Linked DNA regions of Drosophila melanogaster. The protein of the gene in region 2 interacts with the protein of the main gene of each other region in a pairwise test. Each region holds a gene or a part of one and is shown on either strand. Other genes may lie near its edges. The genes, in order: bic and Arp10.

Region 1 (3,949 bases), on a different chromosome or scaffold from region 2:
TGTTGTTATACTAAAATTGCTAACATTATAGCAATTATTATATTATGGATAAAAACTGGTAAAATCCTGGCCAGAAAGGGACAACAGACTATTCACTTGTTTCAGATAAGATACGGCCATATAAATAAACATACATAAATAGACAATTACTTTGGCCCTTGCTGATAAAGTAAGTTCCGCTTATTGCTGAGCATACTTAATGTTGTTTACGAATCGGTGGAGAGGCAAAAGAAAAAAACCAAACAAGCCAAAAGCTCTCTCCCATTATTCAGATCTGTCTCTCTCTCTCTATAAATATGTATATCGACTAAATATAATTGTTATTATCACTTCTTAACACGAATAGGATTTTATATACTCTTACACACACTCGCTCACTCATAAAACTCATCTTTTGAGCTAAACTCCGGCTGCTTTGTCTTTCTGAATGACTCATCGGGGAGTTTTTATTTGATTAATGGCTTATAGGCTAATACTTCTACATATATTTTATACAGTTACTCACTGGACAGAACGGCACCTTGGCGTCTGCTGGTGCAGCAATATCCGCAGCAACTCATGATGAGGAAGGTGAGCAGAAAGAACATGAAAATGCCCCAGAAATCCATGGCGAAATCGTCTATATCGTCCAACTCAAAGTCGTCCACTGCGGAAGAAGTTAATGTGTTTAAAAGCTCGTTTCATAGTCGATAAGACGTCGTGAAATACTTACGTTTGACAAGGATTTAGCGGTTATTTCCCTTTGTTAATATCTGTATTTAAAGTCGAAAATTCCACTTGTTGCAGGGAATGCACTGCCTATTTATCGGATTTATCCGCTTTTTGGCAGCACCCGTATAATTCACTTAAATATCAGTGAACTACTCTACCGGAAGGTCGTTATTGAAGCCCGATTGGAATTAACTATATCTTATCAGCGTTAATCTGAAAGTAATACAATTTATCATGATGATAATGGGTGCACGTTATGCAGCACTGACTGCGCTGGCTATGTTTAGTGAGCAGTCGATGTAAAGCGGCGATAGCTAGCGCACTCAACACAGCAATCGATAATTCAAACATAACATCTGATTTAATTGTGTTTAAAACTTTATTGCAAGGTATATAATGGCTCATAATTTTATTTATTTGCGTTCCAAATATTTACTAAATTGAGTTTGTTATACTAAGCTTGTATATTTTGTATAGATATTTTTTAAAACATTACAATTTATCATAATGATGACGTTATGCAGCACTGACTGCTGAGTTTAGTGAGTAGTCGATGCAAGCCAACGATAGCTATCGAACTCAACAAAGCAATCGATACTATTGGAATAGAAAATATAAGAATTAATTAATTCAAACATTACATCTGGTTTAATTGTGTTTAAAACTTTATTGCTGGGTTTATGATGGCTCATAATTATGTTTATTAACATTCCAAATGTTTAGTAAATTGGTTTTTTTTCTTACCACGTTTATTTTTAATTTTATATAGCAAATTTTTAAACATATTTACTTATATATGTGGTTGAAAGCGATGAAAATAAAGTAAATCGATTAAATTGAGATTTATGCCCTGAGTAGATTTACTTTCCCACCATATACTACTAAAAATTTGAATATATTCAAAACTAAAAATTCATTCAAAATTCAGAAAACGTATTACTTCAAAAATAATGTATAAATTATATAAACAATAGAATTTTTAAATTTCTTTGGCGCGCTTTGGTTGCCACCTTGTGAGCTATCGATAGTCAACACTCACGTTTAGTACTTCCTACCAGTACTACTCACATATACATACACCTTTTGCCATTTTTATCATGGCGATTTCTTTTTGACATTTGACTACGACTGGGCGCACGTGTTTTCTGGCAAGGCTCTGTGCTAAATTCTAGTAAAATCAAAGTGAGTAGTGGAAAGTGCGGCATTCGATTGGCGTTTTACTGATGCGACCATTGTGTGTACTCAATTGAACAGATGAACGCGGAAAAGCTGAAGAAGTTGCAGGCGCAGGTGCGCATTGGCGGCAAGGGCACCCCTCGCCGCAAGAAGAAGATCGTCCACTCCACGCCCGCCACCGACGACAAGAAGCTGCAGTCGTCGCTCAAGAAGCTGTCGGTAAACACAATTCCCGGCATCGAGGAGGTGAACATCATCAAGAACGATGGCACCGTCATCCACTTCAACAATCCGAAGGCCCAGGCCTCGCTGCCGACGAACACGTTTGCCATCACGGGTCATGGCGAGAACAAGACGATCACCGAGATGGTGCCCGGCATTCTGACGCAACTGGGTCCCCAGGACATCAACCAGCTGAAGAAGCTGGCCACGGAGATTGCCAGCAAGAGCGGCGCCGGCGGAGCAGCCGGCTCTTCAGCCGCCGATGCCGGTGACGATGATGTGCCCGATCTGGTCGAGAACTTCGAGGAGGTGGCCATCGCCGACACAAAGGAGGAGAAGTCCGGTGAGGTGGCGGCCTCCGCTTAGGCTGGTCCAACCCCGCCCACCCGGGCAAATCACACCACCACACACCGAACACAAAAACATACATACAAAACATACGGGGCCAGGGAGCAAGACGAAGTGGCTGGCATACAGGGCAGAACCCACACACCAGACACGCCGGAAACACATCTACCACTTACCCATTCCGGTTCCAAATCGGAAACGGATCCACTCCGGACTGCAACCAGCGCTTCTGCCCTGAATGGGCCATTCTTCGTGCTCCCTCCAGCCACTTTTTTGGGGGTCATGCTACACACTATACTAAAATACAAAAATAAAGGCATCCGAGTGAGCGCTGAACAGAACACATAAGCATAATAACTATACTTAACATACTAAGGGAACCCTTCAATCTTAATCTAATTGTACTAGTTTGGAACAGTCAAATGTATTTTCCAAAGCGATTAAAGAACGTTTCCTTAACCAAAAAAAACCACAGTCTAAACAACACACACATTCTAATTTTTGCCGCCCTCCCAAGAACAACACACACAGATGTATCTATAGATATATGCGCTGTCATAAAACACTATATACTATATATATACGATACGGTTTTCGGAAGAATTGTGACGAGGTGATTAGGGGAACAACGCAGACACTCCAGATGAATTCATTGCCAGGTCGCGAGGACAGAGAAATATATTTTTAGCACTACTAGCTCTTACCGATTTTCCCCAATTTCCGACTTTTCGATGTAACCCCGCCCTCAAGGAATCCTCAATTGAAAACGAAAACAAGCTGAGGCCACAATTTCGATTCGAGAACAATGTGCCCAAATTGTTGAAAGCATAGCTTATAATTTGTAAACTATTGTTTTAGACCATCATTACCATGCATAACATTAAATGAGCTGTAAAAACCATACGACCCATTCATATTTCCAGCATTTTTTTTTTAGTTTAATGCCTATTTTTTTCTTTGCTTGCATAATCGACATGTGTGTGAGTGTGGGCCTGTGTGTGTATGCATAGCAACGCTCTTGTGTGAGGTTTTCGAGGTGATGGGAAAGGGGTAGTGGGAGGTGTGGCGCAAAGCACGCGGCAGTCGAAAACTTGTTGACATTTGGTATGGTACGTCTAAAATCCAGATGGTCAGAAGGCTCCTTCGGCAGGAACTATGACCCGTACGCAACTTCCAAATTATGTGTCCAAATCCAAAGTTGGGAGTCGTAGCATGCGGTACATGCACATATGTATATATATAAATATGTATATGGTTTTTGGTCGGAAATCTTCGAAATGAGTCACGTTTAAATTGGCTTAAAATTGCGATTAGGCCAGTTCAACCGGAATGTTTCTTGAAGTTTCCACTCATTTGTACATAAACAAGCGATTGCGGCTTCTTATCACATTTCGACGACCTATAACGGATTAAGGTTAATGCAAATGCTAGTATTTTTATCAGTGACGAGGTCAAATAGAGTTAAAAACTCATATTTAATTGTGGCAAATAT
Region 2 (4,249 bases):
TTCATCGGCTTCTTCGTTAAGTTGATACACATCCCCATCAACAATATCATCGTGGGCTCTTAAATGCGCTGAGTGGCAAGGAAACCACCAATCATCCAATCATCCATTATAGCATACATCAGATCAACGTCTTTTTTTTTCGTTTAGTTAACATGCATTATATGTATGGACCATGTGCATTCAGCGAATGCCTTTCTAACAAAATTCTACACAAACGTACGAAAACGTATTGTAATGTTTCGATATTCCATTCATGAACAAGTTAGTTAATAAGATTCAAATGTAAAAAGGAATCACCCGTCTTCATAGCATTTGTTTGGGGTGCGCATCCCCGCTAATAAATGTTAAATTGATTTTCCGTGTACAAATGAGATTCTTTTAACTCTGAGAGACGCAACGTTACATTGCTTGAAGAAAGTAAAGTTGTAAATGAAGCTGATAAACCGACATCATCATTAGAACCAAGAATAAATGTCCAGAAAACGTACAAGCAATATTTTGTTTAAAGCTCGTTAGCCTATATTTCGTAAATATTTAATACCTATATATTACAGAATAATAATCAAGAGTATGTTAGTACGCGTAACCAGTAAAGCGCCGAAGCGTACATATTTCCATCTTCCGGGACTGCCCTCGAGTCTACGAGCCTGTCGGCCTATTATCGCACAGGTTGCTCCAGTCGGGAACGTGCTCGCTCTTTAGATACGTCTCCTTGACCAGCGATCGTGTCTGGATGAGATCCGTCGCGCCGCACAAGGCGCCGCCCAGCCAGGCAGTAAAGTTTTGCTTGCCGACAGCATTGAAAAACTTGAACTGCAGCTCGCCATGGAAGCGTTCGGCGTAGAACGGATCCTCGGTGAGCAGATGCTGCAGCTCCTGGCGGAGGCGGGCCAGCAGACCCTGGACCATTGAGCCGCCGCCCACGAGGAACACACTCTCGACCAGGGCACGTCGCACGTCTAGTGTGCAGTCGAGAATGGAGCGCAGGATGAGATGCGGCAGGCTGTCCCGCTCGTTGCTGGCCTCGAACATGATCTCGTAGGCAGACTCCCGCAGGAGGCCGGGCACCTGGATGACCGCATCGTTGTCGCTGACAATGTAGTCCACGTCTGGCGCGGGAGTCGGCTGATTCTCGTCGCCGTTGGCGCGGGCCTTGGCTCTTTCCATGGTGGTCACAAAGCAGGTTCGCACCTTGATGTCCTCCAGCACGCTTTCTGTTAGCAGGCTCTCCTTAACGCCACTCTCAACCAGCTGCCGCTTGATCTCCGCGTGGATGGCGCTGCCTCCGTAGCTCTGATCCTTGAAGGCGGCCATGATTTGCACCCCGCTGAAGACGGGCATAACGCTGGTCTCGCTGTAGCCAACGTCCACCACAAGGGCAGTGGGCACTGCCAGCGTAGACAGCGCAATGAGATGCACGGGCACGAACAGCACGGAGGAGACGTCGAAGTGGACAAAGAGCACGCGGGCCAAGGTTTCACGCAGCACAGTGGATCCGAACACGTTCTCCACCAGCACGAACTTGCGCTCCTTGGGGCTGACCAGTAGATGCCTAGAAGGAAATTACATTGCAATAGAAACCAAAGCCACCGAGTCACCTACTTGAAGAAGATCGTCTGCAGAAAATCCACTAGCTGGTCGTACAGCTCCTCCGGAGTGTCGTAGTCGAACAGACGCTTCCGGATCCCCGTCGTGGTCATCACCACCTCCGTGGGCATGATCTTGCGCGGATACGCCTCCGCTGCGAATCCCAGCCTGAAAAGGGTGCAGTGATGACTTCATACCACTTTCGCCGAATTATTTGCGTTTGCTTACTTGGTGTAGGCGGTGCCAATGTCGAGGACAATGGGCGGCTTCTCCTGCATCACGCTCTCGTAAATGGGCATCTTGGCTGCTGTCTGCTGGCTGCTTGCTCCTTTGCTGGACGAACCGACTAGACCATGGAATGGTATATTGTTCAGTTCGCTTAATTTTTGGCCAAAACAAGAAGTTATCGGTGTGCGGAAATCATCGATTGACGATGTAGCGAGCAAACACCCTGTTTCCACTAATGGCATCCGTTTTACTGGCACGCTTTTCAAATTTCTGGGTAACTTTAAAACTTTGCCTATTGGTTTGAAATACATTCAATTTGGTATTTTGGTATTTTATGGCTTTTAAAACCCAACAAGATAAAATTTTGAAAGTAGCTCGGAATCATTTGGTGTCAGTCGATTATTCTGCTTTTAAGAGGTCTAACTCTTACGTACAAATAGAATCAACTTTACTTTAGTTTATTGCAGTGTACATACATATGTATGCTTTTCAGTAAGTTTACAAAACTACTTTATCGAATTTAAGAAGTTAATTTCGCGAGTTTGAAGCTAATAATTATAATGATTCTTGTGAAATTAAATTCATATATCTTAAGAACAACTTTTGTTCAATATAATCGCAAAGTCTCCGGGCGCGCTTCGTCACTACATTAACTGCCGTCCACAGTGATGTTTTCTTGCATGGATATCGTCCTGTTTGAAATTATTATATTGCGTATTACTAAAACAAGTCGGTTCCACTTTGAATTTTTAAATTTATTTCAAATTTATCTGCTTTATCTTATTTCGATTTGTGTTTTTGCACGGTCGACCGCTTCGATTTCATTATGTTTTCTTAGTATCCTGGTGTGTTTTTGGGCTATAATTATTATACTGCATAATGCATGATGCATTCGCGGTGCGGGATGTGTGATCATATACAATTTGATGTATTATATAATAATAACTTTTGCCTATCAACTAAACCTAAGCGTAATTTCAGAAATATTCCTTCAAATGATAAATGTGTACAATTATATAAATTACATTATGCCTGCGCATAGGTAACTATACAAAACGAGGAAAGCACAATTCATTAAATAATTAATTAATTAACTATGTATAAAATGGTCTTCTGGCGTCTCTGCGAAGCACCTGGGACCTGGGGCCATAGGACGAGGGCTAAGGATTGCGGATTGACGGTTGTGGGCCGGAGTATTGCTAACTAGCGATTCTAGTAGTTCCTTTGAGCAAACAAGTTTAACAAATTTCGAATAATAAATAACAAAGCAGTAACAAGTCACGAGTCACCATTTTCCTCCAGAAACTGGGGGGGAAACGGTTCGGATCGAAGCGGTTGCGATGCCCGCATGAGACAAATTCAATAAAAAATTGCTTCATTGCGGGTACGCTTAAAATTTAGTTGTTAAAATAAATAAATTAATAACTGTAAGATCTGATTGGGAACTGGGACTGGGACTGGGACACGGACTGGGTCATGGTCTTGGACAAGGGCGAGAAAAAGTGCGAACTCATCGTCTAAGCTAATTTACAGTTACATTCAGTTCAGTCGTCGCTAGTTTGGCAGCTGAGGTGGCCGTGGTCTCGACATGCTCCTGATCCCGGTCCTCGACCAGGACAGAGGTGGTGTCACTGGTGGCGCCGCCTCCGCTGCGACGCCTCCTCCTGCTTCTCCTATCCTGTTCCTGTTCGTTTGTGTATCTCGTTTTCTGCTTCCGCTGCGCTCCGTGTCACTTCTCCGGCCCAAAGAGCCTGGCCAGACTCGCGTTCTGATTGCTATCCATGATGTCAGCCGTGGTGCCCATGGATCCCTTGGCCTTGTGCGACTGCATGGGCGGCAGATTGGCTATCTGCACCTCGTGCCGGAACAACTGGTTCACGCTGCGTCCGACCAGCTGGGCGGTCAGCTTTTTGAAGATGTCCTTCTTGGCGCGATCCACTTTGTTGCCCTTGACGGGCGCCACGGCAATCTTTTCGTCGAACTTTTGAATGTCGGCCGCATTCACGCTGGGGATATGCTGCAGCACTTCGCTGAGAATGGGGAACTGCGGACGGAGCAGCTCGTAGAACTGCACGCCCAGCGTCACCAGGCCCGATTGGTTGGCCTCGTGCTGACCGTGCACCTGCATGCCCTGCAGGACGGCGGTAAAGGCCGTGACGGCCTTGTTCTCGTCCATTAGTTTCTCGGCGGCCAGGAAACGCATCACGGGCGCTGCGATGTTGACAGCCTTCATGCTGCACATGCCGTCGTTCCAGGCGATGGCTTTTAGCAAGGTCATGAGCACATAATTGCCAATGAGTCCGTTGCGCAGCAGCTTGCCGCCCAAGTCGCTTATGATGTCCGAGAGCAGTGCCGACTGGATTGCTCGCGATTGCGGTGCGCTGTCCATCGAGTGCTCCTCATTCTCCATGGCCACAGAATTGCTGTTGGCATT

What was found.
Region 1: the proteins of Arp10 (region 2) and bic interact in a two-hybrid assay, tested with the Drosophila melanogaster proteins (2 studies listed by BioGRID).

What each region holds. Positions count from the first base shown.
Region 1 is NT_033778.4:12,868,438-12,872,386, forward strand, and holds bic (bicaudal), read left to right. Parts: upstream 1-1,811; 5' UTR 1,812-1,893; exon of another isoform or gene 1,894-1,965; coding exon 1,966-2,475; 3' UTR 2,476-3,357; downstream 3,358-3,949.
Region 2 is NC_004354.4:19,644,031-19,648,279, forward strand, and holds Arp10 (Actin-related protein 10), read right to left. Parts: upstream 2,147-4,249; 5' UTR 1,887-2,146; coding exon 1,816-1,886; intron 1,756-1,815; coding exon 1,603-1,755; intron 1,553-1,602; coding exon 640-1,552; 3' UTR 501-639; downstream 1-500. Other genes in the region: Sec61gamma (Sec61 gamma subunit), read left to right, coding at 1-63; Ranbp21, read right to left, coding at 3,545-4,249.